4 linked regions of the Elephas maximus indicus genome follow. Each later gene encodes a partner of the first gene's protein in a complex. Links are inferred from orthologs where the notes say so. Each region holds a gene or a part of one and is shown in the gene's direction. Other genes may lie near its edges. The genes, in order: CNOT6L, CNOT10, CNOT9 and CNOT2.

What was found.
Region 2: CNOT6L (region 1) and CNOT10 share a complex: the UniProt entries of both Homo sapiens proteins name them as parts of the CCR4-NOT complex. The link is inferred for Elephas maximus indicus from reciprocal best matches to the Homo sapiens genes CNOT6L and CNOT10.
Region 3: CNOT6L (region 1) and CNOT9 share a complex: the UniProt entries of both Homo sapiens proteins name them as parts of the CCR4-NOT complex. The link is inferred for Elephas maximus indicus from reciprocal best matches to the Homo sapiens genes CNOT6L and CNOT9.
Region 4: CNOT6L (region 1) and CNOT2 share a complex: the UniProt entries of both Homo sapiens proteins name them as parts of the CCR4-NOT complex. The link is inferred for Elephas maximus indicus from reciprocal best matches to the Homo sapiens genes CNOT6L and CNOT2.

Annotation. Positions count from the first base shown.
Region 1 is NC_064823.1:79,349,382-79,357,807, forward strand, and holds the start of CNOT6L (CCR4-NOT transcription complex subunit 6-like), read left to right. Parts: upstream 1-5,292; 5' UTR 5,293-5,308; coding exon of another isoform or gene 5,309-5,313; 5' UTR 5,314-5,559; coding exon 5,560-5,660; intron 5,661-8,426. UniProt on the Homo sapiens protein: Has 3'-5' poly(A) exoribonuclease activity for synthetic poly(A) RNA substrate.
Region 2 is NC_064845.1:6,926,714-6,934,983, reverse strand, and holds the start of CNOT10 (CCR4-NOT transcription complex subunit 10), read left to right. Parts: upstream 1-5,039; 5' UTR 5,040-5,996; coding exon 5,997-6,198; intron 6,199-8,270. UniProt on the Homo sapiens protein: Component of the CCR4-NOT complex which is one of the major cellular mRNA deadenylases and is linked to various cellular processes including bulk mRNA degradation, miRNA-mediated repression, translational repression during translational initiation and general transcription regulation.
Region 3 is NC_064824.1:117,130,349-117,137,945, forward strand, and holds the start of CNOT9 (CCR4-NOT transcription complex subunit 9), read left to right. Parts: upstream 1-4,559; 5' UTR 4,560-4,760; coding exon 4,761-4,784; intron 4,785-7,597. UniProt on the Homo sapiens protein: Component of the CCR4-NOT complex which is one of the major cellular mRNA deadenylases and is linked to various cellular processes including bulk mRNA degradation, miRNA-mediated repression, translational repression during translational initiation and general transcription regulation.
Region 4 is NC_064822.1:131,515,378-131,523,364, forward strand, and holds the start of CNOT2 (CCR4-NOT transcription complex subunit 2), read left to right. Parts: upstream 1-4,857; 5' UTR 4,858-5,117; coding exon 5,118-5,227; intron 5,228-7,987. UniProt on the Homo sapiens protein: Component of the CCR4-NOT complex which is one of the major cellular mRNA deadenylases and is linked to various cellular processes including bulk mRNA degradation, miRNA-mediated repression, translational repression during translational initiation and general transcription regulation.

The DNA of each region.
Region 1 (8,426 bases):
GGTGATGTTTGGCAAATCACTTTGCCTCAGGTTCCTCATTTGGAAAACGAGGAAGTAGGATCAGGTGATCTTTAAGGTTTGGTAGACTACAATTCAACCAATAATACCTCATTGTTAGTTCACTGATTTTCAAATTTATTTTAGTCGCAGTGAGCCTTCTTTGAAAGAACTCATGAAGAAACACAATGTATTAGTCAGGATGCTTTGGTTCCAGAGGTCTAACTCAAGTTAGTTTTGATATAGAAGAGAATTTACTAGTTAATTTAGCCACGCTATGTGAAAAAGGTGCAACTAGACCCCAGGGATGACTGAAACCTGGAACTGGAGAACTGCTAGGACTTGCTCTCTGCATTTCTCATCTCTGTGCTAGCTTCATGCTACACAAGGCAGTAAGTGGCCACTGGTCACTCTCAGACTTCCTTCTTGGCTCTACTCTTAGAGCCAAGGGAGAGTCCTTCTTCTCTTAGTTCCACCTGAAAATATCCTGGGGAAGAACTTCGCTTGTTTTTGTTTGAATCATAAGCCCACCCTTGAGCCAAGACGCTGGGGGACTTTCTTGGGCTGCAGCTGCCACTGGAATGGCAGGAATAGTTCCCTGAATGAAAGGACACACTGTTCACAGAAAGAGGAAGGTTAATGGGCAGACAAATAGATGGCCAATACGTAAAACATAAAACACAGGCGTTCTAGTTGAGGTCCCAACTACCAGGTCCCCTCTGGGTACTCTAGGTGGCTTCTGAAACATACCTTTGCGGACTCTATGAGGATCCCTGGAGTACAGCATTTTACTGGTTGGATAGCATGTCAGTTATCTTCAAGTCCTTGACAAATTGAGGAACTGGACATTTATTGGTGGTGGTTCTTGCCTGGTACAGGAAGTACCAAATAGAGTGGTACTGAGGTTGACAGAGTTGGGGTGGAGATTCTGAATATTCAGAGATGAAGGGACTTGAGAATGGGACTGCAGAAAGAGGAAGCAGGAGGGTACCAAGATTAACTTTGCCTATTTACCATCTTATCTATGACTGAGGTATCATATGGCATACTATCAGTAATGATGGAAAATGTTTACCTTTGGCTAAGATAGTGTGATGGTCGTTTGTGTCACCCACTGTTGTTTTGGGGGAAAGAAACAAAAAAGGAGTGATGGAAAGAGAGAGTGGGTGGACACAGAGAGGGCAAAGGAAATCAGTAAACTCAACCTCCTTGGAGGAACATACCCATGGTAGACGGTGTCTTACAGAAAGATAAGAAATAAAGCCATGGGGATATATAGAGAGGAAGAGGAATTAGAGGAGTAAAATGTGAGAAGACAGAGAAGAATGTAGTTCAATGAAAGGTAGAATATGTCACTGTAAAATTGTTTGGAGGCCCTGTCAGGAGGTCTAAGAAGTAAAAATTTAAGATTATTCTGATTAGTGCTTGTTAAAAAAGTTATTGTACTAATGACTATCAAGTAAAATTACAATGAATTATTTTACTAATTAATAAATTAATTTACTTACCGAATACATTTAAATGTGCCACTTTACTTGAAAAGTTATATACCTATTGGTATAAAAGTATGTATTGAAATGAGTAAAATCATTTAATTGATTCTTTACCCAGTAGTAATAATATTCTTAAGTCAAAAATTTAAATCTTAGCTTTTTGAGCAAGCTATTCAATAGAATTCCGGAAAAGAGATAAAGGCACATAGTGACAAGGAAAGATAAAGGATTTTTCTGTGTCGCTACCAACAGATAGGAAGATTTATTCAAATATTATTTGCTAATTTGAAACAGAAACAGGTGGTCTCTATAACATCAAGTACTTTATTTTTAAGAAAGAATGGACTAGTTCTGTAATACAAATAAACAAATATTGTTTCAGAACAAATTGTACCTACACACTGCTGCTATTAAAGCAATTTGGTCAAAAAGGGCTTACTTAAGCCAGAAGCTTTCAAATGTATAAATCACTTCTTCAAAGGGAGATTTTTTTCATTGCTTTCTTATTTCTAGTCTTAATTAAAAAATGATAATATCTGACAAACATGAATAATTCCCACTGAAATCTTATTTGAAAAGATATCAAAAGCAGGCTACTATTTTGTTCCAAACCTTGATCTACTATAAAACTGTTTTTTAAAATGGCTGAAGTGCTACTCTTGCTGTTGGCATTTGTCTTTTGAATTACAGTCTTAAGAGGGAATTATTTTTTTTTTATATCTACAAAGATTTAATTTCTCAGCTAATATAATTTGTACAACTTTAAAAATTATTGTTTCTCTAATCTCAATCTTATTGCAAATAAGAAAAACAATCTATTTTTCAGATAATTATACAAGTTTTGCTTCCTTGTTTTTAGTAAGTCAATTCATTTAATATGCTATACAAAGAACATCTTTGGCTATTTAAACTCAAACTGCATTCAATTGACCTTTTCATAATAATATCTACTATTATTAACTCTAAATGTTATAATTACCTTCTTTTTCAGTGGATGTTGATGCATTTACTAGAAGCCAGCAATGAACATTCTATATATAAACCTGAGCTTCAGCACCAGCAAACCCTACCATTAGTGTTAACATCCACATCGCCCTCCCCTCTTCCCCCAGCTAGTCAGCCTGTGAGGGTGGTCAGATATCATATGGCTGAAGTGAAAATGTCAGCCTTATCACATCAACCTTATCCTCTGACATTTGTTGTGTTTAATTTTGTGCTACCTTTCATACTTTCATTTCTGGTTTGTTCTGTGAGAATTTCCTGTTTATATGTCTGCTTCCCCTACAGCTACTTAACGGATTGTATATGCTTAACTTTGTATCTCCAATGCCACATACAGTGTCTGGAACATAATACCTCCTCTACATATGCTTATTTACTGTATGACTGAATACTTAGAAATCTATACACCTATGATATTTGAAGAAACTTAAATCTCTGAGGTTATCATATAATGTAATTCATATTTTTTCAGATGTTTCCTTCCCTCATTTCTTCAACATTTGGTAGTATTTCTCCTTCAGGAGGAGAGTGTGTGTGCCAAGGAGAAATGCTGTGGCATCAAGGGAGGTTTATTATTCTAGGCTCCTAAAGTGACTTGTTTGGCTTTATTGCTTACAAAGCCAGATATTTACTCATTACAGTCAGCCTATACTCTAGATAGTTGGGAATGAATGGGACTTCTTCCAGGATTAAGGTCATTTTGACACCTATTACAAAAGCCAGTATGGCGGTGGTGTTGCTAGGAAATGTAAACTTAAAACACAGGTGAAAAACAAAGTAGCCTTAGGTCTTCTCTGTCCTGAGGGGCTTCTTCACTTACTCACTCAGTCACTCTCTCATGCTTCCTGGTGAGAAGGATAAAAGTGGTGCAGTAGTGCTTCTGCAAAGGTGAACTCTTAATAGCTGTTCAGTTCTGGCTAAACGATCATTTGCATTTTCACTTCACCTTCCCCCGCACCAGGAGATGAAAGCATTTTACATTCAATAATAGAACCTAAGATTTAATTGCAGCAAACACAACGTGCTTAGTGTCCTAAACAAATCTCCTGTGGGAAAAAATACCGAACGCTATTCATACACCCTTGACCAAGAAATACACAATCCTGGAGCATGCATTGCGAAAGAGATTGAAATTGCTCAAAACTGCAACAGTAGTATTTTGCCCCTAGAGCCTGTGTAATTTGCTTGTTGTACTGCTGTTGGTGAAAGCTGAAGTTGACCCACATTAATGAAATTAAACCCCAGAAACTTAAAATGTCAATACCACATTCTGCAAGGAAACATTAATATTTCTAGTTTTCATCTTAATGTTTTCATCCTGTAGTTGGCACACATAAACTGCCAAACAATGTAATTCTATCGCGAGAAGCGAGAACTTGAAAATAGGACGGGTTATCCCAGAGCGTCACAGGTTCTTTTATTTACTTTTGACGATACAACTTACACATACTACACATTTTTGAAAAACTCACTTAAGGTGTCAGGAAACATTTTCTTTGGTCTCCTCACTTCATGTGATGTCTCATTAGCCACCCAAACCAGCTCTCGGCTTCGTTGTCAGGCTGCCTCAGGCAAGCTTGTAGCATCGCCGGGCTCACGCAAGAACACGGGTGAGGCTTTGTGTTTGTGTGTTTGATAACCTACCAGCGTTCCCAGCTCTGCTCGTCACTCGAGCCAAGAAAACGAAGAAAGAAACAGCAAGAGTAAATGAAAAAGAGGGCCAAGAACACTGCCCAGCGCACGCGCACTTCGACAAAACGCTACACTCAAGGGGCGGGGCCAAGGCGCGGCTCTGGAGCTCCGCCCCGGCGCTGCTCCGCCTCCTCCCCCTCACCCCACCCCTCAGCGCAGGGGATTCACTGACTCCCGCCAGCCCCTCCACGTCAATCAACCCTCCTCCTTCTCGCACTCTCTGCACCTTGTTATTAATCTCAAAACCGATATCGCCCGGTCGCCTCTCCCCCGGCCTTCGGGGGTGTGAACGTGTGTGAGCGCTAGCGAAGGCACCGAAAGCTGGCGTCTCTGTGTAGCAGCCTCGGCCTCAGCAGCAGCAGGCGTAGCAGCAACCCCCACAGCGGCGGCAGCCCCAGCGGCAGGAGGCCAAGGCCAAGGCCAGGCTCCGAGCTGCTCCTGGAGTAATAGACGCGGCTTCGGCGGCTGGGAAGGCGCAGCTCCCTTCGGCGGGGCCTTGGCGTCGGCGGCCGCGGCCGCGGGGCCTCTCCTGCGCTCTCAGGGTCACCGTCCTCGAAGCCCGGCAGCGCGGCCCTCGTCCCCCTCCCCACCCCCTTCTCCTCGCTCCCTTCAGCTGTCCTTCTCGTCGCCGTCTCTGCCGTTCCTCAGGCAGCCCGGCCCGGCCTGCCCGCCCCGCGTCCCCTCCGGCCGGTCCCTCTCCCCCCGGCGGGCTGCCTGCATGTCTTTGCTGCCCTCAGCCCCGCCGCCACCGCCGCCACCGCCACCCCCGCCGCCGCAGCACCAGCACCAGCCGCCCCGCCGCCGCCGCCGCCGTCGCCGCCCGGACCCCGGCGCGCTGAATGCAGGTGAGGAGGGGATGCAGGCCCCTCCGCGACCCCACGCCCGGGCGCCTAGCGCGCCCTCCCGCGAGCCCGGGACCTGGGCCCTGCCTGTGGCGGCGCTTCCCATCCGGACGGGCGGGAGCCAGGCCCGCCCGTGGGTGTTTGTGTTTGCGTCTGCGGCCGCGGCTCCGGAGGGGAAGCATCTGTGGGGGCCTGGTGAACGCGCGCGCGTGTGTTTGTGTGTGTGTGTCCCCTGCCGCGGGGAAATGGCTGCTGTTGCTCCTTCTGGGCCCGAGGAAGAGAATGAGGTAGTGTGTTTTTGTACCTCTGAGGAGGCTCGAGGATGTTGGGAAGAGGAGCGCGTCAGTGGGGAAATGAGGTGGGAGAGGAACAAATGTGCGTGCGGCTGTGCGATTTGGGACTTTGGCGGGCGAGGAGGCGGCCTGAGGACCCACAGCGAGTGGGTGTGTGTCGAGTGACTGGAGGGGCTAATGGGGCTGACCCGCGTCTCTGTGGGAGCGAGCCAGGGTTCCGGGGTGTGTGTGTGAGGGTCCATGCACTGGGCCCGGGACTCGGGGGGCGGGTTCCGTGTGTCCGGGACCCCCGAGTGGTGTGTCCGTCACCCTTTGTGGCCGAGTGCAACGGAACCTCGCAGGTGAGAGCTGCTCGGCGGGGGTCGGGCCGGGGAGGGGTGAGCCTGTGTGTGGCAGACACACAGCGGCTGGGCCCGGAGAGCTGCGGGTCGGGGCCGCGCCGCTGTTCCTGGGGCCGCGGCAGGAAGCGCGCCGGCCTGCAACGCGGCCTAACCGCCTCGGCGCCCGCCGGCCTCCCCGGACGCCCGGCCCTCGCGGGCCCGGGGCGCTGCCTCGGGCCTGGGCAGGTGGAGGTCAGAGGCGGGACGCGCCGATTCCCGTCTCCTCAGCCGCCTCCGAGTCTCCTGAGAGGCGAAGGCTTATTTTGGCCTTCGAACTGCAGGCTTTTTCTCCCGCCAGCTGTGGGACCCGAGGGAAAGTGAATCAAAGCAGTAAATCTCAGGAATACGCGGCGTCGAGGTCCCTGCTTCTCATCCCTCCTTTAAGGGTACGCGCAGGAACTGAGTAAATATTTGCGTTTTTCCTTTCAGATACTTTTTCGGTGATAAGATATATGCATTTTTTAAAAAGGTAAATATCTTCTTGGAAGCGCGGGAGAAGGAAGGGAAGCTGACTCTAGTGGCCTGTGTTACCGGTGGGTGGGATTGGATCGATTTTGTGCATCTGAATTGTTTTGTCCTTCCTTGTAGGGGGAAAGGTGAGTACATGCCCAGTTGAGGAGGTTGGTAAGGAAGAGGAAGTTAATACTGGAGCTGTCATCCTCTTAATTCTGACGACTATTTGGTTTAGGCTGTTTAGATCAATTGTGTTCAGGGAGTTCAGCTGAACCTTTTGTACACATTGGAAGCACCATACTACATACTGGGAGGCACTACCTTCCTGCCTCTAGTTATCTTGTCAGTCAAGATAGTCATGCACAACAAACACATTTTCCTCTGAGTTTACTCAAGTCTCCAAAACCTAGATCAGAGGCAGCCTTTATTGTCTACTCACTGTGAGATCCTGGAAAGCTATTTTGAGAGTAGTTGAAGCAAAATGAAATTGTAAAGACACATCTGCGTGTGATGTTTTCAAAGCCAAATACAAATGGCGTTTATATTTAAATATAATTATTTGCTGATTTACTTTATCTACTCTGCTCCCTCCCCTTTAGCTCATTTAGCTTGAACCCTGTGGAGAAAGTATGATATAAATTCTGTCCCTATAGGTTGTGCTGTGTATATTGACCAGAGGTTGCTCCTTTCTCAACCTGGCTCTCAAAGAAATAGTGCGTGTTATAGGGTCGCTGTAAGTCGGAATAGACTCGACGGCAACGGGTTTGGTTTTTTGGAGGGTATTCACTGGGAAGTGAGGAGAAGGGAAGGTGGGATAGAGAGCTGTTTTCTGTTATCACTACTGGAAAAACAACAGATGTAGTTTAGAGGAAAAAGGACTTGTTTTACAGACCTCAGAATCCAGACTGTGCCATTTTTCTTAGTTGTTTGACCTTACGCAAGCTACCTGGTTTCTCCTCTAATGTGGGGATAATGATGCCTTTATAATAAACTTGTTGTGAGGCTAGAATGAGAAAACATGTCTCACACATAGTAGATGCTTAGTTAAATTTTAATTTCTCCTCCTGCATCCCTGACTTTGGGCTTTGAAAATCATTTCTAAATAAAAATACTCATTACCTACAGCAATATTATATAACTAAGTTAATAAATCAAAAAGTATTTCAGAGTCAGTTGATACACATAGGATATATGTATATATATGAATATGTGTATATGTGTGTATGCATGTACATGTAATACACAACTTTTATATATATAAATATATAACTTTTGCATGGTATATTAGAAATCTTTTTTTAGGAATAAGGTTGCCATTAAAATAGCCTACTATATTAGTTTGTAGAGAATATAGTCATACTTAATTTTATTTTCGTATTTGCGAATAGCCCATCTCTCAGTTTCATTACTCTTTTTTAGCTAATTCTTACTATGTAGTTCTTGCAATTTTTTAAAAAAAGTTTTATATGTAGCACATATACTATGTTCTAGTAAAATCAAGCATTACAAAAGTCAAGGAATCAGAGTTTGTCTACATAGGACAACAAAGTGTAAGTGCCTCAAAATCGTTATGCAGTTCTTTTAGTTCATATTGATTGATTCCAGTAAACAAAACCCCTTGGAATATTTTCCTGAATGTAAGCTAAAATCCTCTGTCAACTTACCTTTAAATAATTTCCCATTTTTATTAGTATTTGTGGAGTAGTATATGTGTTCTTCATTACATTTTAACCTTATTGTGAAAAAAAGAATGGAGTTTAAGGTATGGGCAGCTGAGAGGTTAAGTAATGAATTTTTTTTTTCTCCTTTTTTATTTGATAAAGGCAGGGTGAAGAGAATGTATAGGAGACATCTCTTTGGTTTAAATTTGGAATGTCCCTGTTTACAAATGCCATGTTTCCCAATTAAGCCTTAAATCATTATTTCCATCAACAATGTTAGTAATATATATTTGTAAATCTAGAAAATCACTAAAATTTCAAGTCATTTAACATCACTTTCTGTGAAGGGCAACAGGGACAACTTTATTAGAATGCAAAATGTCATGTTTTGTTAAAATAGCCAGTTTCTGTTGTGGATGTATGTGTGTTTACAATGAACAGAATCATCTGCCATAGAGATATATTTAAAGGAAGAAGTCTCACCTTAAAAAGTATGAAATTGTTTTTAATACTTTAAAAACAAAGAAAAAAATGAAGTTTACATTTAGGTAATTTTCATTAAATATTATGAATCATATCTTAAAGCAACTTATACGTATATATTTTTAGTTTG
Region 2 (8,270 bases), on another chromosome or scaffold:
ACAGAAACTCAGCGCCCCTAAACGTGACTCCTCTTCCCCCCTCCCTCTGACCCCTGGAAACCACCAAGTGTTTGATTAGGAGGCATTGAGTTTATGTTAAATGATGGTAAAATACTTTGAAAAAGGGTAATGATAATGGTTGCACAACATGAAGGGTATAATCAGTATTACTGAAATTGACGTGCACACATACAGATTGTCGAACTGGTGAATGTTTTGTGGCATGTATTTTTACTACCATGAGCAAAGGGATGAATTTATGTATTTCCAGGTAGACTACTACATAAGGGGTGTTGTGGCAATCAGGGCGTCACATGTAGAGGCATATATGTCCATCTGCCATTGACTATCGTGATAATTTAATCACCTGGTCAAGCTGTTGACAGATTTTTTTTCCCCACCTTAACAAAATATTCCTGACTTATGTCTTGTCTGCTATACCCCAGCACTAGAATTAGCCATTTCTCCAAGGAGCCCTAGTAGTTGAGTATAATTTTAATAGCTGAAAGAATTGAATGGTCCTACTAGATATTTAATTCTGTGGTTTTTCTCCTATATTTTCTCTCAAATTCAAATTTTTCAGATCTGGAGAAGTACATTTATGCCAAACAAATGCAAAATTCAGGCAAGTGAAGGCTTTGTAGGCAGGGTTTGTAGGTAAGGACTTGAACACCCACCTAGGATTCTGGGCTGTGAGAGCCTACACCAATTGAAGGACATTGATTCGGTAACTATAAAGTTGTTCGTATTTGGTATTTTTTAAAAACTTTTTTATTAGAAAAGGTTTTAAACAGCCAATAAATTAAAAGTAAGATGAACATCCATATACCCACCAACTAGTTCAACAGTTGTCACATTTTGCCATACGTGTTTCCTCTATCTTTGGCCACAACTTTTAATGTTGAATCACTAGGAAATAAGTTATTGGCAACTTGGCACTTCATTTCTAAATGCATCAACACGCATTTCCTAGAAGTAAGGACATTCACCCACATAACCACAGTGGTTAAGAGCTTGGCTATTACCAAAAGGTCAGCAGTTGAAATCCACCAGCCACTCCTTGGAAACCCTGTGGGGCAGTTCTACTCTGTCCTGTAGGGTCACGATGAGTCGGAATCAACTCAGTGGCAGTGAGTTTGGTTTGGTTTTAATGACTAATGATGTTGAACATCTTTTTGTGTGCTTGTGGTCCATTCGTATATCTTCTTTGGTGACATATCCAAGTCCTTTGCCCATTTTTTAATTGGGATGTCTTTTTGTTCACTCTCTTTTCTTTTTGCTCCTCAGACTTGATAGTAATTGTCCTATATTTGTGTTCACTGGTTCTTTTTTCTGCCAGATCAAATCTGCTGTTGAACCCCTACAGTGGATTTTTCATTCCAGTTATTCTTTTCAGCTCTGGTATTTTTCATTCTTTTTTAAAATAATGTCTGTCTTTTTCTTGATAGTCTCTATTCTCGTTTTATTCATACATCATTTTCCTGATTTCCTTTTTTTTTTTTTAACCTTTTGAGTATGTTTAATACTGTTGTTTTAAAGTCCGTCATCTGGGCTTTCCCACGGACAGTTTTTTTTTTTTTTTAATAATTTTTATTGAGCTTTAAGTGAACGTTTACAAATCAAGTCAGCCTGTCATACATAAGCTTATATACACCTTATTCCGTACTCGCACTTACTCTCCCCCTAATGAGTCAGCCCTTCCAGTCTCTCCTTTCGTGACAATTTTGCCAGTTTCTAACCCTCTCTATCCTATCTCCCCTCTAAACAGGAGATGCCAACACAGTCTCAAGCGTCCACCTGATACAAGTAGCTCACTCTTCATCAGCATCTCTCTCCTACCCATTGTCCAGTCCCTTCCATGTCTGATGAGTTGTCTTCGGGAATGGTTCCTGTCCTGGGCCGACAGAAGGTTTGGGGTCCATGACTGCCGGAATTCCTCTAGTCTCAGTCAGACCATTAAGTCTGGTCTTTTTATGAGAATTTGGGGTCTGCATCCCACTGATCTCCTGCTCCCTCAGGGGTTCTCTGTTGTGCTCCCTGTCAGGGCAGTCATCGGTTGTGGCTGGGTACCATCTAGTTCTTCTGGTCTCAGAATGATGTAAGTCTTTGGTTCCTGTGGCCCTTTCTGTCTCTTGGGCTGATAGTTATTGTGTGACCTTGGTGTTCTTCATTTTCCTTTGATCCAGGTGGGTTGAGACCAATTGATGCATCTTAGATGGTCGCTTGTTAGCATTTAAGACCCCAGACGCCACATTTCAAAGTGGGATGCAGAATGTTTTCATAATAGAATTATTTTGCCAATTGACTTAGAAGTCCCCTTAAGCCATAGTCCCCAAACATCCACCCTTGCTCTGCTGACCTTTGAAGCATTCAGTTTATCCTGGAAACTTCTTTGCTTTTGGTCCAGTCCAGTTGAGCTGACCTTCTGTGTATTGAGTATTGTCCTTCCCTTTCACCTAAAGTAGTTCTTATCTACTAACTAATCAGTAAATAACCCTCTTCCACCCTCCCTCCCTCCCCACCTCGTAACCACAAAAGTATGTGTTCTTCTCAATTTATACTATTTCTAAAGATCTTATAATAGTGGTCTTATACAATATTTGTCCTCTTGCCTCTGACTAATTTCGCTCAGCATAATGCCTTCTAGGTTCCTCCATGTTATGAAATGTTTCACAGATTCGTCACTGTTCTTTATCGATGCGTAGTATTCCATTGTGTGAATATACCACAATTTATTTACCCATTCATCCGTTGATGGACACCTTGGTTGCTTCCAGCTTTTTGCTATTGTAAACAGAGCTGCAGTAAACATGGGTGTGCATATATCTGCTTGTGTGAAGGCTCTTGTTTCTCTAGGGTATATTCCGAGGAGTGGGATTTCTGGGTTGTATGGTAGTTCTATTTCTAACTGTTTAAGATAATGCCAGATAGATTTCCAAAGTGGTTGTACCCTTTTACATTCCCACCAGCAGTGTATAAGAGTTCCAATCTCTCCGCAGCCTCTCCAACATTTATTAGTTTGTGTTTTTTGGATTAATGCCAGCCTTGTTGGAGTGAGATGGAATCTCATCGTAGTTTTAATTTGCATTTCTCTAATGGCTAATGATCGAGAGCATTTTCTCATGTATCTGTTAGCTGCCTGAATATCTTCTTCAGTGAAGTAGGTGTTCATATCCTTTGCCCACTTCTTGATTGGGTTGTTTGTCTTTTTGTGGTTGAGTTTTAACAGAATCATATAGATTTTAGAGATCAGGCGCTGGTCGGAGATGTCGTAGCTGAAAATTCTTTCCCAGTCTGTAGGTGGTCTTTCTACTCTTTTGGTGAAGTCTTTAGATGAGCATAGGTGTTTGATTTTTAGGAGCTCCCAGTTATCTGGTTTCTCTTTGTCATTTTTGGTAATGTTTTGTTTTCTGTTTATGCCTTGTATTAGGGCTCCTAACATTGTCCCTATTTTTTCTTCCATGATCTTTATCGTTTTAGTCTTTATGTTTAGGTCTTTGATCCACTTGGAGTTAGTTTTTGTCCATGGTGTGAGATATGGGTCCTGTTTCATTTTTTTTGCAAATGGATATCCAGTTATGCCAGCACCATTTGTTAAAAAGACTATCTTTTCCCCAATTAACTGACACTGGGCCTTTGTCAAATACCAGCTGCTCATACATGGATGGATTTTTACCTGGGTTCTCCATTCTGTTCCGTTGGTCTGCATGTCTGTTGTTATACCAGTACCAGGCTGTTTTGACTACTGTGGCTGTATAATAGGTTCTGAAATCAGGTAGAGTGAGGGCTCCCACTTTTCTTCTTCTTTTTCAGTAATGCTTTGCTTATCCGAGGCTTCTTTGCATGGACAGTTTTTGTTACTTTATTCTTCTGAACAAGTCATCCTTTCCTGTTTTGTTGAATGCCTTGTGATTTTCTGTTGAAACCAGGTCATCTGACTGTTATGGTAATTCTGGAAATCAGATTCTTCCCCTTCCCTGGGGCTGTTGGGGGTTTTATTGTTTGTTTTAAATCATTAGAACTGTAGTAATCCATTTATTTAGAGACTTCCCCTAACTGTTTTTGCAAAGACTACGTTTCTCTACATATGTAGACCCTGAAGTCTCTGTTCCTTAACTGTGTTCAGCTAGTTTTTTGACAGATTTCCTTGAGTGCCCGGGGTGGGGGTAGTGCAGTAATGTCTGTTTGTCTTTGCAAATTGGTTCTGTGCTAGGGCCCTCCTTCAGCACTTAGCCAGGTTTGTGTTGAGCCTATAGGACAGCCCAGCGTGAAAGTGTATGGTTTTCAAAGGTAATTTCTGAGCGTGTGCCTTGCTAATTCCTCCATATACAAGGTGCTTTTGAAAGTCTTCTTTTACAAAAGTAATCTTTCTTGGCTTTTCCTTCCAGTCTTTAGGTGCCTGTTGTGTGCCTTAATTGCATTCTTTAGCTACAGGCAGCTACAGCTTTTCAGAGTTCCCTACTGCCCCTCAGCCCAGACGTGTCAAACCAAGATGAGCACCTTGCTTTAGTCCTTGAGGCAGTCCTCGGACAGGTTAGATCAGATACAACAAAGTCTGCTCTGCCGTATCTAAAGCCAGAGACCAGGCTCTCTCTCTGGGAATGTGGACCATTGTGGCTTTAAGGTGGCCGTGCCAAACTAGGGAGGGGATTGAGTGCAGGTGACTAGAAAATGAAAGTTTACCTAATGCCATTAAGATGTTACATTTTGCTGATGCCACTATCTTGCTTATGTTTGATATTTTAAGTATGTTTAATGTTTAAGAATTTGGAGCAGTGTATTAATCTTGTTATTGTGATTAAAAATGTATAAATGAGTGAGTAATTGATTATAGTTGTGAATTTAAGTCAAGTCCTTACTATATTTGTATTATTGCATGGAACATCAAAGAGTACCTAAGAGTTACTGTATTTATCCATCTCATTTCTTAGATTTATAAATTAATGTATTTAAGTTCTCAGAAAATGTTTTAAGTCAAGCAATTGTACCTAAAATTGAACATATTAAAGATTTTAAAGTAGGGAAAATTTTGTTTGAAAGAGCTTAACTCTGTAAATGAGATCAAATATTCATTACAGCCGCTTAAAATCGACGCAGGTTTCCTAGACCTTTAAATAGGGTAATAAGATGTCTAAGTTGAATGTAAAAGCTTGAGGAAAATCTAGGCTTTATTAATTTATAACTTCAACAAATCTAATATTAATGTTTAAACCTAGAGTAAATCTCAGTCTTTTTTATGCATAAAAACTGCTCTCAGATATGAAAATAAAAATACTCACTGGCAGTGGGAGTGGGTATGCTTTGCTGGTTATCCCCAGAGCATGCTGATGTTCTTGATTTGGACTTCACTTCCTTTCTTTCTGAAGCACTAGGCAAGGTGTCCACCTCTGTAGCATTGCTGGTTATGAATGGCGTATCCTTTGGGCCCTGCAATGTCTGCTCTCCATTTTTGCAGCTCCTCACGTCCAGCCTACAGTGAAAAGGAAACGTGGCTTATGCAGTACTTCTTGCTTTCTGGAAGGTAGCTCCACTGGTCCCCTGTTACTTCTCTGAGTTATGTAGAGGTCAGGTATCTGTGTGTGGAGTTTTCATACCTCAGGTATACTTGTTGTTTAGGTGCTAGAAGGAACACGTGAGGTATGTGAGCCTCAGCTATATGGTGACTTTGGTGAGCCTGGATTACTTTTCTTTGAAATGGCATCCTTGTTAAAACTTTTCTCCACAAAGGCATGTCAGTATTTTGCAAACATTGCAGATTTCTGTCAATCTTAATGCATTCCTTTTTTCTTTGAAAAATTATCTTTTCTTGAACATCACTGGAGCTACGTATTGACAAGTGTAGGTTGCGCGGAAGCTCATGCTCCAATCAGATTTGAATTGTTAGTGTTCTGTATTGGAATGCGTCTCTGCTTTCAGTTAACTGGCTTTCAGTTTTGAAAAAGCAGCGTGTTCCTTTTCCACTTAGTTCATACCTAAAGGCATTCGTTTGGTTAGAAATGAAGCCTGTCGGCTTGAAGACTGTCAAGATTTGTGAGGCAAAGAGCTCGGGTTGCCTAGGTCAGCCATGTTCGTTAGGTCAGAGTAAAAGGAAAGTCAAGCCTTTGAAAGACCCATCATCATATTCTCTTTCAATTGGCAATGGGGACTACTTTTGGACAAATAAAGAAATGTTGTGGAATTACGTGCAGGCTCTAACTGGTAAGAAATTAGCAGTTACAAATAATGATTTTAAAAAATTTTAAAAACCAATTATAGGAGAAATACGTATTTATCATAGAACGTTTGAAAAGTGCAAAAAGATAAAAAGAAAATGAGCGTTCTCACTATAGTGTATTTTTAAAAAAAACAGTAAATTTTCATGCTAAAGTGAAAGAATTTAGGTAAAATAACAGTTGGTTAACATGTAAAAGGTTATTTATTGAGCTCAGTTCTTTGAAACAGGTGTAGATACAAGAATCACAGATTTTCTTGTCAGGCTTAAAGTCCAGCTTATTTATTTAAAACCTGGCTTCTTTCCTTTCCTGGAGAATTTGGGGAGACTTGCAGTCCCTAGGGGATGACGACAGCAGTGGCCACATGCACCACTCTGCTTTTCACGGAGAATAGAAGCTTAAACTCCTTGACTCCTTGGTGAATTGTTGAGTGCATCCTTGTGCCCTATAGTTAATGGTCAGTCTCTAACAGTTAGGCCCAGAAGACCCGTTAAAGAATGTCATCTGGTCTAGAAGGGGCATATTTTGGAACAAGCTATAAAGATAACTTGATGGCAAGCTAAGAATTTTTGGCATTTGGTTTAAATATGCACCATAAAAACCAAACCCATTGCCATCAAGTCGATTCCGACTCGTAGGATAGAGTAGACCTACCCCATAGGGTTTCCAAGGAGCGGCTGGTGGATTCGAACTGCCGACCTTTTGGTTAGCAGCCGAGCCCTTAACTACTATGCCACGAAGGCTCCATACTTACAAACCAAAAAAACCAAACCTGTTGCCATCAAGTCGATTCCAACTCATAGCGACTCTATAGGGCAGAGTAGAACTGTCCCATAGGGTTTCCAAGGAGCACCTGGTAGATTGGAACTGCTGACCTTTCGGTTAGCAGCCGAATTCTTAACCACTATGCCAGCAGGGTTTCCATACTTACTTATAGGGGAAAGGTAATTTTTTAAGAACTTGCGTTTCCTAAACTCTTAAATGGAAAGAGAAACATGTAAAAAGTATTTGTATTCATTGTTAAAATTTTATCATCAATATAATGTGATAAGTTGAGGGTTGAGCTTCAACCTAACCCCCTCCTGTGCTTTCTGGGGTCCTGTAATCCTGCGTCCCATTTCAACACATTATTAAAGTAATTGATCATTACTGTTACTAAGTACCTGATGGTTTGCAAATGTGAAAGAGGGGTCAGAGCAAAAATCCTGGAAAGTGGGATAGAAGTGCGGTCAGACTGTTGACAGTTATTCGGGGTAGAGATTGTAGAGCCGCTTTGTACTTTATATGTATTTATTAGTTTTGTAATAAAAAGTGAACATGTAAATAAGAAATCCAAATATCATGAGACTTTGAAGTTGTTCTTTAAGTCACAAATGATGACATTACTCTTATATATTGTGTCTTTGGTGAAAGTTTACATAGGAAATTAAGTTCTCATTTAACAAATTTTGTACATATTGTCTAGTGACATTGGTTACATTCTTCACAATATTTCTGCGTTCTTATTATTTCTATTTTAGTTGTTCTGTTTCCGTTAATCCAGTTTTCCTGTCCCCCCTAGCCTTCTCATCTTTTGTCTAGGGTAAATGTTAAGCCTTTGATTTCACCTGGATAATTATTTTGGGGAGCACAGTCCTCACAGGTGATATTATTTATTTTATGGGACAGTCTGTCATTTGGCTGAGAGGTGACCTCTGGGAGTGGTTTGAGTTCCAAGTTTAAAGAGCATCCCAGGGCGATAGTCTCTGATGACTTTACTCTTACATGTCGGAGTCACATTTTTGCAGTGGTCACTGTCACTGGTCTTTTAGTTAATGCATGAAATATCTACTGGTGAGTAGAATTGAGAAACAGAATATTCTGTGGGAGATGTTGAAATATAAAAAACACCTTTTTAAAAACAAAACACAGGTTTTTAACAGAAAAAAGAAAAATATTAACATTAAAAATTACAAATATTCCCACGTTCACATTACCTATGTAGTATTCTTTCCAAAAATGCCGAACTGAGTGTGGTCATGAGGAAACAATGAGAAAAACCCAGAATGTGGGGTATTC
Region 3 (7,597 bases), on another chromosome or scaffold:
GCCTCTTCATAGCTACTATCCTAATTCAGACACTCCTCTCTGTCACAACCTCCACCCCGTATTATGCAACATTTACTAAGCACAGTCCTAAGTCCCATACATACATTATCTCATTTAATTTTCATAATAATCCTAAAGGATAGGGATTATTATCTCCATTTTACAGATAGGCAAATAGGCTTAGAGGGAGTAAGTAATTTATCCATGGTCACAGAATTAGGAAGAAACAAAACTAAGTACTGCCAGAGCCCACATTTCTATATTCCATCCTCATCCATGAACTGCATCAATTGCTTTCCAGTCTCCATTCTCTCAATTTTTTTCACCCAATGAATCTTTTACACTATAATATCCTTTCTAACGGCTACTCTTTGGGCATTATCAGCTAAGTTATGCAGTAATCGTCACCTTAACTTCATCGCTGAAGGAGAAAATAAAGTCGTATCTTCCTATATATTCCAAGAAAACGCTCTTAGTAAGTGCTAAATTGATTGATGCTAATTCCTTCCCCTTTTTAACAGCTCATGACTACCCATAAAAGAAATTCAAATGCTTCTCTGTGTTTGGGATTCATACACTTCCTATTTCTAAATACAAATCCTGTTCTACACAAACTATTACATTTTAACATTTCCTCCCATATCCACCACCACCAACTGACTTAAATATGGAATTTTGCTTTATCTATTTTGGAAACCTCATCCTCACTGGTCTCACAGTCTACCCCGTTGCTAAAATATATATATATAAACCACTGCTCTGATTTCCAAGGGCTTTCTTTCCTAAAAAGATCCATATGACAAACACACAACAAGATAAAATTAGTGGTGTGGCTGAAAGTAAAGAAGGAAGTTAGCCTACATAAAATTTATCTCCAATTCAAAGAATGAATCTGAATGATTTTATGACATATGAAAGGGTATAATGACCCAAAGCTGGAAAACTCTTTGTTTTTCTCTTGTGGTCCTCTGTTTTTGCAAAAGGTAGCTGTCTTAAAATGACAATAATCAGTAAACTGGTCCTTCCAAAAGACTCATGGTTGTTATTTAAGTCCAGTTTACTCATTTAACAATTTTTTGAGAAGTAGAAATGGTCATTAGTTTGTAATCTAGTAGAACACAGACTTTAAACAATTTCACAAGTAAATATACAATTACAAGTTCCAATAAGTGATAAAAAGTGAAAGTACAGGGCAAGATGAGAGATTACAACAGGGTATTTAAGATTTGGTGGTAAAGGGTAGGGAACATTAAGAAAAGTACCACTTGAACAGAAAATTAAGTAAGTTGATTGGGGAATGGTGGTGCTGGAACAATCCAAGAAAACAGAAAAGAATTTCTTTTTTATTTTATAAAAGTGCAAAGGCCCTGAGATAGGTAAGAACCTGGCATGACTGAAAAGTAGCAGCATGGATGCTGCTTAGTGACAGAGAGAATGGTGCAAGATGAAGCTAGTGAAGCAAGAGCCGAGTTACACAGTTTTACAGACCACAGTAAGGATTCTGAATTTGATCTTTACTATTCAACATAATGGAAATGCTGGTGGCTTAGTGGTTAAGAGCTACAGCTGCTAACCAAAAGGCTGGCAGTTCGAATCCACCAGCCACTCCCTGGAAACCCTATGGGGCAGTTCTACTCTGTCCAATAGGGTCACTGTGAGTCAGAATCAACTCGACGGCAATGGGTTGTTTTTTTTTTTTTAACTCAGTGTAATAAGCACTTAGTGATGGGAGATGCATGGGAGGGTTTTAAGCAGAGAAAATGCCATATTACTGCTGAATGGAGAAGTGACGTGGTTTGTTTGGGTCTGGGGACAAGAACAGTGGAGGGAGCAAGAACAGAAGAAAACAGAGCAACCAGATAGAATACTTAAGTTGTTCGGCTTATAACAACAATTACAATAACAAGTAACACTTATTGGCCATTTACCATGTACCAAGTGCTCATCGTGGTTATCTCATTTAATCCTCCCAACAATCCAATAAGGTAGAACCTTTTATTATTTCCATTTTACAGATGAAAATACTTGGAACCAGTGAGATTAAGTCCAGGTGAAAGGCGACTGTAGCTCGAACTAAAAAAGGTGGTAGTGAAGATGTAGAGAAATAGATTCAAGACATATATTGAAGTATAATAGATAGAATTTGGAGAGGGTATGGATACACAGGATGAGGGAAAAGCCAAGAATGACTTTCAAGTTTCTAACCTGTGTAACTGGATAAATGGATGTATCATTTAATAAAATGGGACACTGGAAGAAAAAGAATTTGGGTGTGGGAAGAATGACCAAGACATGTTTCAGACATGTTATATTTGAAATTCCTCTGAAAAAATTAAGTAGAGATGTCAAACAGGCAGTTGGCTATTTAGATGTGGAGTTCAAAGCAAAGGGATTGGATGGGAAATAAACATTCTTAAGTTTTCAATGTAGAGATGGAATTTGAGGCTTATGGAAGGCAAAAGTAAAAGCAGAAGAGGACCTAGGGCTGAAGTCCAGATATTCAAAATAGAAACACCTCTTACTAAGATCACTAATTACTTCTATGTCACCAGGGTTTTTTCAGTCCTCATTCAATTTTACCTTTCAGCAGAATTCAACACTATTGACAACTTCTTTCATCTCTTTTGCAAGGCTCATTCTCCTTTATCCAGTTATTAAATGTTAAGAATTCTTCAATGCTCCCTCCTAGGTCCCCTTCTTTTCTAGCACTATACTCTATGCAATTTCATCCACATCCATAGCTTCAATTACTACCAACATGACTCTCTGTTTATGTGTATATATACAGTCCCTATGAGTCGGAATTGACTTGACAGCAACAGGTTTTTTACAGGTGTACACATGTATATACAATTGTCAGCCCAGAAATTCTTCTCTGAGCTCCAACAGCATATCCAACTGTCTACCTGACATCTCCTTTAAGATAGCTCTTCCAGTTACAGGCCCGTCAGGCATCGTTGTTAGTTGCCATCCAGTCAATTTTGAGTCGTGGTGACCCCATGTGTGCAAAGTAGAACTCCTCCATAGGGTTTTCCAAGCTATGACTTTTTGGAAGCAGATTGCCAGGCCTATCTTCTGAGGCACCTCTAGCTGGGTCTGAACTGCCAACGTTTCAGTTAGTAGTCCATAAATTAACCATTTGAGCCACCCAGAGACTCCTGTCTGGCATTAGCAACCTCCCCCCCGCCCCCCCGCAAAAGGCATTCACAGAGCTAACATTTTGAGGGGATTACAACAAAACCAAACAGCCCTGGTGGCACAATGGTTACGAGCTCGACAGCCAACCAAAAGGTTGGTCCAGCGGCTCCATGGGAGAAAGACCTGGTGATCTGCTTCCATAAACACTGCAGCCAAGAAAACCCTCCAGGGCCGTTCTACTCTGTCACATGGAGTCACTAGGAGTGGAGAACGACTCGAGGGCACCCAGCCACCACCACCACCACAAAACCATTACAGGACAACTCGTCAGAATACAGGGCTTTGCCATCAATTACCATTTCCTTCTGCGGATCATAACCTAAAACGGGTAAACCTGACAACCTAATCTGATGGCCAGAAATGGGGAACACCAGACAGATGCACGACAAAAAATATAATTCATGCCTTTTGGTGAAGGATACTTAGGAGAGGAAAGAAAGTGAAGAATGGTCCAGAGACTGAATTGAGTATCATGTCTAGGACCCGATGGAATGTGCGGCAACGGAAGTCACCTGAAGAGACAGCAGGCCTCATTAAGTGGCAAGTGGTGGACGACAGCAGGAGCCAGTTTCGGACTGCGGAGGGCACGGGACAGTAAAGACCAGGTTTTAAGAGAGGGAGAGCCTGGGGGGAAGCCCCAAGTCGAGTATCTGAGGCTAGGGACCGTCGAGGGGTTGGGGGGCGGGCTGAGAAGCAGCGCGGTGAACTCTTTAAGAGTGAACGCCGAGTGGGCGGACAGCGAAGGGGAGGGGGGCTGGGAGAAACAGCTCAGTTGAGAAGCTTGCCGGGCCCGCCTTACCTGTGCCTGCGAGTCAGGAGCCCCAGAACAGGCCTACCGGAAACACAGAGTCCGAGCGGAGGAGGAGGAACCGGGAGTAAAGTAGGGGTACCGGCCACTGTGGAGCGGGGCCGCTCACTCCCCCAGTCAGGGAGAGCGGCTGATGGCGGGAACTGTGACCACACGCAAACACGCACGCACGCACGCACACTCGACGCGACCAAACCAGGCGTGCGCGCAAGCCTATAACTCCGCCCTTCCTACGCCTTCGCCCCGCCTCGGCACCAAGCGACGCCCTGCACAGAAGCCCCGCCCCTGCCGTGACTGTAGTACGCACGCGCACTTTCCATTTCATCCCCCTTTCGAGCTCCCACCATTTCCCTCCTACTGAGCCCAGTCGGGCATGCGCACTAACAGGCCTCCCGAGACTGCTCCTCTTTTCCCGCCCTTCACTGGCTTCCGAAGGAGGGTCAGAGTTCACACCCGTAAGGATGCCTACTTGAAGCCGGGGATACGGGGACTAGCGGGTCGCGGACGTCCTCCCTGAATCTTAAGGGGCAAAAGACATACTGTGAGACTTTTAACTCCGCCGAGGGCAGGGAGGCGGGAAGAGGTTGTGTGGGCGGGGTCAGGGGTGAGAGGTCAGAGGGCGGCGAAGGGGGCGGAGCGAGCCGGAGGCGGATGGCGGCTGCGGCGGCTCATCATCTTCGGCGGCAGCGGCGCTGAAGCAGGACGCGGATCGGGCGCGTCCGGCGGTAGGAGGAGAGTGGCGGCCGCCCCCAACATGCACAGCCTGGCGACGGCTGCGGTGAGTGGCTGGACCGGCCGGCCTGGGCCCAGAACCCCTCCTCAGCCCTGCGTTTCGACCTCCTCTCCCAGCTCCCTGTGTCGGCCCCGAGTCCAGCTCCTTCTGCCCTCAGCCGGCGAGGCCCTGCTTCCCTCCTCGCCGCGCCTTTCCTGCGATGCGGCTGGCCGCCGCTCTCCTCGGCTGACGGCTCTCGCTGCCTGTCTCTGCGCGTAGCGTTCTGTTCCGGCCCTGGGGCCTGGTCCAGCGCCCGGAGCGTCTCCCTCGCGGCCCGGGCCGGCCATTCATTGATTCCTTACGCTGACCAACAGTTTGAGAGCCGCAATGGTGTGCTGGGCGCCGGCGGGGCCGAGGGGGATCCCGTGGTAAATCTGACGCGGCCGGTGCTCTCGGAACTTACTGCCTAACGCAGCAGGATGGGAATGGCTTCTAGCTCAAACCACTAGCTTTTACAGATGGAAAACCTGAAGCCCGGAGAAGTGAATAAATATGCATCTGGTTATGATTCTTTGCTTTTAAAACCTTTCACACATCTCGTCCCAACAGCTTACCAGGCTTTACCAGCGTGCTCTTTTAACAAGAAAAGCGCAACGTGTATTTCACCTGTCTGAAGTACTTCTATGGCTTCCCATTGCACTTAGATAAAATCTAGACTCCTTGCCATGGCCTGCAAGGCCCTGTGTGATGTCGTCCTTACTCACGTTTTCAGCCTTGTCTTATGTCACTGGAACCTGATGGCACAGTGGTTAAGGGCACGGCTGCTATCCAAAAGGTCAGCGGTTGGATTCCACCAGCTGCTCTTTGGAAACCCTATGGGACAGTTCTACTCCGTCCTGTAGGGTCTTTATGACCCGGAATCGACTTCACTGCAACGGGTTTGGTTTTTTAATTTGGTTCTTATGTCAGTTGCTCCATGTGCTTTAGCTACACTGCCCCCTTGCTAACCCTCCTCCATGTGCTTTTCCACTCCTGGGTGCACCTCTGGTCTCTATGTCTGAAATGCTTTTCTTCCCTCTGTGTGTGTTTGTGTGTCTCACACACACAAACACACACACACACACCATGTGGGTGTAACAGGCTCTCATCCTTCTGGTCTCCACCTAAATGTGCTTCAGAGTGGCCTTCCCTGGCCACCTTATTCAGAGTAGCCAACTTTTCTCTTTCAGAGTACCCTGCCTAATACCGATCCTAATATGTAGCTATTGTATGAAGTTACTAGCTTGTTGTCCTCCCCCTTGAACACAGAAACAGGGATCATTTGGGTCCTGTTTACATTGTTTCCCCAGTGCTAGGATAGTTTCTGCTACCATTTAGTAACTCAAATACTTTGTTCAGTGAAGTAATATAAATGCAGGAGGTGACCACTGAGAACATGTAGCCATAATGGGAAAAAGGGATCATTTGATTTTAGTGAACGCTTCTGCATGCCAGTCCTACTTTTTCAGTTTCACCAAGGACAAAGTGACTTAAGCAGATAATAACGTGCTGAAATTGCATTACCAGGCAACATGACATAAGTTCTAAATAGAGCACAAAAGAAATTGCCTTAACTTTAAATATAACAACTGAAGAAAAAGTGAGCCAAGTGTGGCTAGCCTATAGCAAACATTGCTTTCTGAGATTTGATCCTTATCAAGTCATCATTTCCAGGGCCAGTGGCATCTCTGTCTCCTGTCACCATGTTTGTAATTGTGGAGAGGTACTTTTTAAATCTTAATTTGATTTTAATTTCCCTAGCTTTTTTATTCTACCTCCCAAATTTGGGAAGAAGTACATTGCAAGGTAAGGCTGCTGCTGGTAGGGGAAAAAAGAAAACAGGAGAGAGGCAGATTAAACTGAGGGAGATTCTTGTAAGGTTGGCTCTCTCTCAAAATCTTTGTCTTCCCCAGGATTTGTACTTTTGATACCAAGCCATTCTCCAATTTTATTTTCAATAGTTCATCTTTTGAACAGCCATTGAAGCTGTGGTACATTAAGAATAATAAATACTCAGTATATGCTTCTTCAATGTACAATGCCTTATATTTACTTAAGAATTTAAACTTTTACATGTACTTGCACCTGTTACACTAGTTGGACTGTACAGCAGCTCTGACAAGTTCCTTTGTACCACTCATCCACTGAGCTATTTGATTAGTGAGGAGACTGAGGCATAGAAAAGTTGACTCACCTCGTTCCCAATCCCTCATGTCATCTGTTAGACCAAACTGGGAATTATGATCTGGGTAAAAGGACAATAATGATGTATATCACTCATTAGAAGATGGGGAGAGTTAATAATACATGCAACATTACCCACAATAATCTAAGCTACTTGAGAAGATGCTTACATATTGCCCAATAATGAAAATTTATATTTGTGTATGTGCCTTTATCACTCCCTTCTCCCTTCTTTTTTTTTTTAAATAGCAGGAAAGTTATTTCTTCAGGCAGGGAGATAGAAAGTACTATCATAGGATGATGTGATCACACGTGAATTCAGGCTATTCTTTGTAGAGGGAGAGATTGAGATAATTGGGGAAGTACCTTAAATCTTGAGAGTAGAGTAATATTTTATTATGCTAGAACTGTGCAGTAGACAAGGAGCTGTGGATAAGCACTTGGCTGCTAACCTGAATATTGCTGGTTCAAACTCACCAGCTGCCCCACAGGGGAAAGATGTGACAGTCTGCTTCCGGAAAGATGGCAGCCTTGGAAACCCTGTGCGGCGGTTCTGCTCTGTCCAATAGGGTCACTATGAGTCGAAATCAACTCGACAGCAATGGATTTGGTTTTGATGTAGTAGACTTGTCATTCTTGAGGGAATACATCCTAAC
Region 4 (7,987 bases), on another chromosome or scaffold:
AGTCTGTCTGCTTTGGTTCTAACTTTCGCATTCCAATCACCAGTAATTATCAATACATCCTGATTGTGTGTTCGATCAATTTCAGGCTGCAGATGTTGGTAAAAATCTTCAATTTCTTCATCTTTGGCCTCAGTGGTTGGTGCCTAAATTTGAAAAATAGTCATATTAACTGGTCTTTTCTTGTAGGTGTATGGATATTATCCTGTCACTAACAGCGTTGTACTTCAGGATAGATCTTGAAATGTTCTTTTTGTGTGTGTGTGTGCTTTAAGTGATAGTTTATGATTCAAGTCAGTTTCTCATACAAAAACATATACACACATTTTTATGTGACCCTAGTTGCTCTCCCTGCAATGTCATAGCACATTCCTCCTCTCCACCCTGTATTTCCTGTGTCCCCTTCTGCCATCTCATCTTGCCTCAGGACAGGAGCTGCCTATTTAGTCTCATGTATCTACTTGAGCCAAGAAGCACACTCTTCACCATATCATTTTATATCTTATAGTCCAGTCTAATCTTTGTCTGAAGAGTTGGCTTCGGGAGTGGTTTTAGTTCTGGGCTACCGGAAGGTCTGGGGGCCATGTCTTCTAGGGTCCCTCTAGTCTCAGTCAGACCATCAAGTCTGGTCTTTTTACTAGAATTTGAGTTCCGCACTGCACTTTTCTCCTGCTCCTTCAGAGACTTGCTGTTGTGTTCCCTGTCACGGCAGTCATCGCTTGTAGCCGGCACTGTCTAGTTCTTCTGGTCTCAGGCTGATGGAGTCTCTGGTTTATGTGACCCTTTCTGTCTCTTGGGCTCATATTTTCCTTATGTCTTTGACGTTCTTCATTCTCCTTTGCTCCAGGTGGGTTGAGACCAGTCGTTGAATCTTAGATGGCTGCTTGCTTGGCTCACTACCTTTTTAGACCCCAGATGCCACTCACCAAAGTGAGATGCAGAATATTTTCTTAATAAATTTTGTTATGCCAGTTGGCCTAAATGTCCCCTGAAACCATGGTCCCCAGCTGCATGGTTCACCCCTGCTACTCTGTCCCTTGAAGTGTTTGATCGTAATCAAGAAACTTACTAGCTTTTGGTGTAATGTGGTTGTGCTGACTTCCCCTGTATTGTGTGTTGTCCTTCCCTTCACCAAAAATAATTCTTGTGTACTGTCTAGTTAGTGATTACCCCTCTCCCTCCCTCCCCACCCTCATAATGATCAAAGAATGTGTTACTGTTTAAACCTTTTCTTGAGTTCTTATAATAGTGGCTTCATACAGTATTTGTTCCTTTTGTGACTAATTTTAGTCAGCAAAATGTCTTCCAGATTCATGTATGTTTTGAGATGTTTCGAGGATTCACTGTTGTTCTTTATCATTGCATAGTATTCCATTGTGTGAATATACCATAATTTGTTTATCCATTTACCCGTTAATGGGCACCTACATTGTTTCCATCTTTTTGCTACTGTGAACAGTGTTGCAGTGAACATGGGTGTGCATGTTTCTATTGATGTGATGGCTCTTACTTCTCTAGGATATATTCCAAGGCATGGGATTGCTGGATCTTATGTTATTTCTGTTTCTGGCTTTTTAAGGAAGCACCACATTGATTTCCAACATGGTTGTACCATTTTACATTCCCACCATCGTGTGTAAGTGTTCCAGCCTCTCCACAGCCTCTCCAACATATATTATTTTGTGTTTTTTACATTAATGCTAGCCTTATTGGGGTGAGATGGAATCTCATTGTAGTTTTGATTTGCATTTCTCTAATGGCTAATGGGACACCCTGGTAGCATAGTGGTTAAGTGCTACAGCTGCTAACCAAAGGGTCAGCAGTTTGAATCTGCCAGGCGCTCCTTGGAAACTCTATGGGGCAGTTCTCTGTCCTATAGGGTCGCTATGAGTCGGAATCGACTCGATGGCACTGAGCTTGGTTTTTTTGTTTGGAATGGCTAATGATTGTGAGCATTTCCTCATGTATCTCTTAGCCACCTCGGTATCTTCTTTGGTGAAGTTCCTGTTCATATCCTTTGCCCATTTTTTAATTGGGTTATTTGTCTTTGTTGTTGAGGTTTTGCAGTATCTTGTAGATGTTAGACATTAGACACTGATCAGATTTGTCATAGCCAAAAATTTCCCAGGCTATAGGTTGTCTTTTTACTCTTTTGGTGAAGTCTTTGGATAAACGTTAAGTGTTTGATTTTTAGGAGCTCCCACTTATCTAGTTTCTCTTCTGGTGTTTGTGCATTGTTACTAATGTTTTGTATTCTGTTTTATGCCATGTATTAGGGCTCCTAGTGTTGCCCTATTTTTCTTCCATGATTTCTATCGTTTTAGATTTTATATTTAGGTCTGTGATCCATTTTGAGTTAGGTTTTGTGCATGGTGTGGGGTATGGGTCTTATTTCGTTTTTTTGCAGATGGATATCCAGTTATGCCAGCACCATTTGCTAAAGAGACTGTCTTTTCCCTGGTTAACAAACTTTGGGCCTTTTTTAAATACCAGCTGCTTGAAATGTTCACTTTGATGATGAATGCAATGCCATTCCTCTTCAAGTTGTGGTTCCAAGCACAGGAGACCGTATGATCATCTGATTAAAAATGGCCAACACCAGTCCATTTCAGTTGACCATTGGCTAGGATATCAGTGTTTATTCATTCCATTTCATTTTTGATGACTTCCAGTTTTCCTAGATCCATACTTTGTACATTCCACATTCTAATTATTAATGGATGTTTGCAGCTGTTTTCTTCTCAATTTGAGTCGTGCCACATCAGCAAATGAAGATCCTGAAAGCTTGGCTCCATCCACATCATTAAGGTCAACTCTACTTTGAGGAGGCAGCTCTTCCCCAGTCATACTTTGAGTGCCTTCCAACCTGAGGGGCACATCTTCCAGCAGTATATCAGACAGTGTTCCACTGCTATTCATAAGGTTTTCACTGGCTAAACCTTTTCAGAAGTAGACCGCCAGGCCTTTCTTTCTAACCTTAGTCTGGAAGCTCGCCTGAAACCTGTCTGCCATGGGTGACCCTGCTGGTATTTGAATACTAGTGGCATAGCTTCCAGAGTCACAGCAACATGCCAGCCCCCACAGTATGACAAACTGGCAGACACTTCTCATATGTACCAAGGAGTGATTAACTCAGAACATTTTTTAAATCATTTTATTCTGGTAAAAATACATGTAAACAAATATTTGCCTATTCAGCATTTTTATATGTACAATTCAGTGACATTGCTTAGGTTCATAACTTAGAGCATTGTGAAAACATTCGTCTGTGTTATCAAACCAGAAATTAGTTCATAAGGGCAAGGAAGTGTTTTTGTGGCTGTGATTCATTTACTAATCAGAAAAGGTTGATTGACATAGTTAGGGAATCTAAAAAACCTTTGAATTTTAAGGGTAAGAGCACAGTGTGTTTACTTCAGCTTACTCTAGAGTTCCATTGAAATTGGCCACATCTGGTAGTCTGTTCTAATTAATAGCCAGCCTGGTATATAAAATTCTCTATATCAAAAAAGAATGGTGACGCAGTGGTCGAAAGCTCGGCTGCTAACCCAAAGGTCAGCAGTTCGAATCCAGCAGGCACTCCTTGGAAACCCTATGGTGTAGTTCTACTCTGTCCTATAGGGTCACTATGAGTCAGAATTGACTTGATGGCAGTGGGTTTGCTTTTTTTTCGGAGTTTATTTCAGAAAAAGAAAACTCGTCCAGCTGGTTCAACAATCATAACTTGACCAAATTCCTCACGTTTTAGCTCAAAGTTGAGTATGGTAATGACTACCATGTTTTACTTATTTCAGATAGCGTTAAAAGAAAACCCATTGATGTCAAGTTGATTCCAACTCATACTGACCTGTAAGACAGTAGAACTAGGGTTTCCGAGGTGTAATCTTTACAAAAGCAGGCTGCCATATCTTTCTCCCATGGAGCAAGCCGTTGATCTTTTGGTTTAGCAGCAGAGTACTTAATCACTGTGCCACTGGGGCTCCTTTCAGATACCATTAAACCAAAACCAAACGAGTTGCTGTCAGGTCGGTTCCAACTCATAGTGACCCTATAAGACAGAGAAGAACTGCCGCATAGGGTTTCGAAGGAGCAACTGGTGAATTCACACTGCAGAAGTTTTGGTTAGCAGCTGAGCTCTTAACCACTGTGCCACGAGGGCAACCGTAAAATGTTGGGGTATTTTTTGTATACTATTGAATAGTGCAGTGGGAAGAAAAAAAGACAACATAGAAAAGGACATCTGTAATTGTCCACTTTCCTGTGAGCATTGCCTTGACACCGAACATTGAAAATAGACAATTTTGGAGTTGGATGTGTTTTCTAAATTCATTTGGATCAACCACCTTATTTTACACATTAGGAAACTAAGACTAGAAAGGAGAAATTGATCAAGCTAATACTTCAACTCAGACTTCCTGATTCTTGTTCCATTAGCATATTTTATTTGGTGACATGAAATTTAAAAGAATAAACTTTAATAAGTATTTCCCCTCTCCAATAAAGTATTTTCTAGAAATTTTACTCAAAATATATTGATTTCCTGTTTTGAGAAATTCTTTTTTTTAATTATTTTCTGAAAGAAGTTGGGGTTCAGTTAATATTCATTAATCCAAGTACTGTTTATTGCATGCAACATTTTTATTAGGCTCTGATTTAGAGAAACTTAGAGACATATAAGTTTGTTTCTTTCCATTAATTAACATTTGGTTTATGTATTTCTTTTAATTAGATTCTTGTTGGTCTTTTTAAAAAATATAAATTTAGATTTAGTGTCTCATTTTCTCACCTCTCCTTTGGAATCCATTTGGTTGATAATCTTCCTTTTCCTTTAACTATGATATTCTTCAAATGGTGTGTTTTGTTTTTTAATTAATAGACTGTTTTTTAGAGTGGTTTGTTTACAGAAAAATGGAATTGAAGGTAGAGTTCCTGTATACTTCTTCTTACCTTACCTACCATTTTTGCTGTTATTCACATCTGCGTTGGTGGGCTGTATTTGTTGCAGGTGATAACCAATATTGATACATTATTATTAAATAAGACATTATCTATGTTTTATTCATTATGCAAAGGCATTTGACTGTGTGGATCATAAAGAATTGTGGATAACATTATGAAGAATGGGAATTCCAGAACACTTAATTGTGCTCATGAGGAACCTGTACGTAGACCAAGAGGCACTCATTCAAACAGAACAGGGGATGCTCTGCGTGGTTTTAAATCAGGAAAGGTGCGTATGAGGGTTGTATCCTTTTATCATACTTATGTAATCTCTATGCTGAGCAAATAATCCCAGAATATGGACTATACAAAGAATGCTGTATCAGGATTGGAGGAAGAGTCATTAACCTGCGATATGCGGATGACGCAACCTTGCTTGCCGAAAACGAAGAGGACTCAAAACACTAACTGGTGAAGATCCAAGACTGCAGCCTTCAGTATGGATTACATGTCAACATAAAGAAAACAAAAATCCTCACAACTGGACCAATAGGCAAGATCATGATAAACAGAGAAAAGATTGAATCCTCAAAGATTTCCTTTCAAGTTCTCAAGGATTTCGTTTTACTTGGATCCACAATCATTGTCCCAGGAAGCAGAAGTCAAGAAATCAAACTATGCGTTGCAGTGGGCAGATCTGCTGCAAAAGACCTCTTTAAAGTGTTCAAAAGCAAAGATGTCACTTTGAGGACTGAGGTGTGACTGACCCAAGCCATTGTATTTTCGGTTGCCTCATGTGCACGTGAAAGATGGACAATGAATAAGGAAGACTGAAGAAGAATTGATTCCTTTAAATTATGGTGCTGGCAAAGATGATTGAATATATACCATGGACTACCAGAAGAACAATCTGTTTTGGAGGAAGTACAACCAGAATGCTCCTTAGAAGTCAGGTTGGCGAGACTTCGTCTCACGTACTTTGGACATACTATCAGGAGGAACCAGTCCCTGGAGAAAGGACATCATGCTTGATAAAGCAGAGGTCAGAAAAAAAGAGGAAGACCCTCAAGGAGATGGATTGACTCAGTGGCTGCAACAGTGCGCTCAAGCATAGCAAAGATTATGAGGCTGGTGCAGGATCAGACAGTGTTTCATTCTGTTGTACATGTGGTCATTATGAGTCAGAACTGACTTGAGGGCACTTATCAACAACAACAACATTATTAAAACCCATAGTTTACATTAAGGTTCACTCTTTGTGTTGAACAGTTCTGTGGGTTTTGACAAATGCATAATGCTATGTATCCACCATTACAGTATTATACAGAATAATTTCACTGCCCCAGAAATTCCCTGTGCTCCACCTATTCACTCTCCCCATCCGCTACCACTTTCTGAATTGGAGGCATCCACTGATCTTTTTATTGTCTCTGTATATTTTTGCCTTTTTTAGAATGTCATATAGTTGGAATTTTACAGTATGTAGCTTTTCATACTGGCTTGTTTCACTTAGCATTAAGCATTTAAGATTCCTTTTTCCTGACCAGGTTAGCTCATTTCTTTTTGTTGCTGAATAATACTCCGTTGTGTGGGTGTACCATAGTTTGTTTTACCATTCGATTATAGTAAAGCTGCTATAAACATTCTTGTGCAGTTTTGTGTGGACTTAAGTTTTCCGTTTATTTGGAAAAATACCTAAGAGCATGATTGCTGGATCATATGTTAAGTCTGTGTTTAGCATTATAAGAAACTACCCAAACTGTCTTTCAAAGTGACTGCCAACTTGCATTCCCACCATTGATAAATGGGAGTTTCTGCTGCTTCACATTCTCTCCAGCATTTGGTATTGTCAGTTTTGGGGTGGTGCAGTGGTTAACGTGCTCAGCTGCTAACTGAAAGTTTGGCACATTGAACCCTCCAGCAGCTCCACAGGAGAAAAATGTGGCAGTTTGCTGCTTTAAGGATTACAGCCTTGAAACCGTATGGGGAAGTTCTACTCTGTCCTATAGAATCACCATGAATTGGAATCGAGTGGACTGCATCTACTTTTGTTGCTTTTTTAAATAGATGTAGTGGCATCACATTTTTATTTTAAAGTACAATTCCTTAATGATACATGATTTGAATACTTTTTCTATGCTTTTTTGCCATCTGTGTATCTTCCTTGGTGAGGTGTCCACATCTTTTGCTCACTTTCTAATTGGCTTGTTTGTTTTCTTAATGTTCAGTTTTAAGACTTCTTTGCATATCTTGAATACAAGTCCTTAATCAGATACGTGTTTTGCCAACATTTTCTCCCAGTCTGTGACTTACCTTTTCATTCTCTTAGCAGTCTTTTGCAGAGCAGAAGTTTTTAATTTTAATGAAGTCCAATTTAGCTTCTTTTTTTCTTGCATTGTGCTTTTGGTATTGTATCTAAAAACTCATTGCTAAATTCAAGATCACTTAGATTTTCTCCTATGCTATCTTATAGAAATTTCATAGTTTCATATTTTACATTTAGGTCTGTGATCTAGATTCACTTTTTTGCACGTAGATGTCCAGTTGTTCCAGCATCATTTGTTCAAAAGACTCTTTATTGTACTGCCCCTGCTTTTTTGGCAAAGATCAGTTGACTATATTTGCATGAGTCTATTTCAGAGCTCTCTATTCTGTTCCACTGATTTGTATGTTTATTCCTTCACCAGTGTCTTCATCACTATAGCTTTATAGTAATTTTTGAAGTCTGATGGTGTCAATCCTCCAGCTCCGTTCTTCTTCTTATGTTGGTTTTTCTTGATCTTTTGCCTTTCCATATAAACTTTAGAACCATTTTGTCATTATCTGCACAATAACTTGCTGTGGTTTTGATTGGGATTGCATTTCATCTATAGGTCAAATTGGGAAGAATTGACATCTTAATAAGTCTCTGTATCCATGAACAAGGTCCCTCCCTGGGTGGCTCAGACAGTTAAGTGCTTGACTACTAGCCGAAAAGTTCGTAGTTTGAACTCACCCAGAGATACCTCAGAAAACTGTCCTGACTGTCTGTTTCCAGAAAGTCACAGCC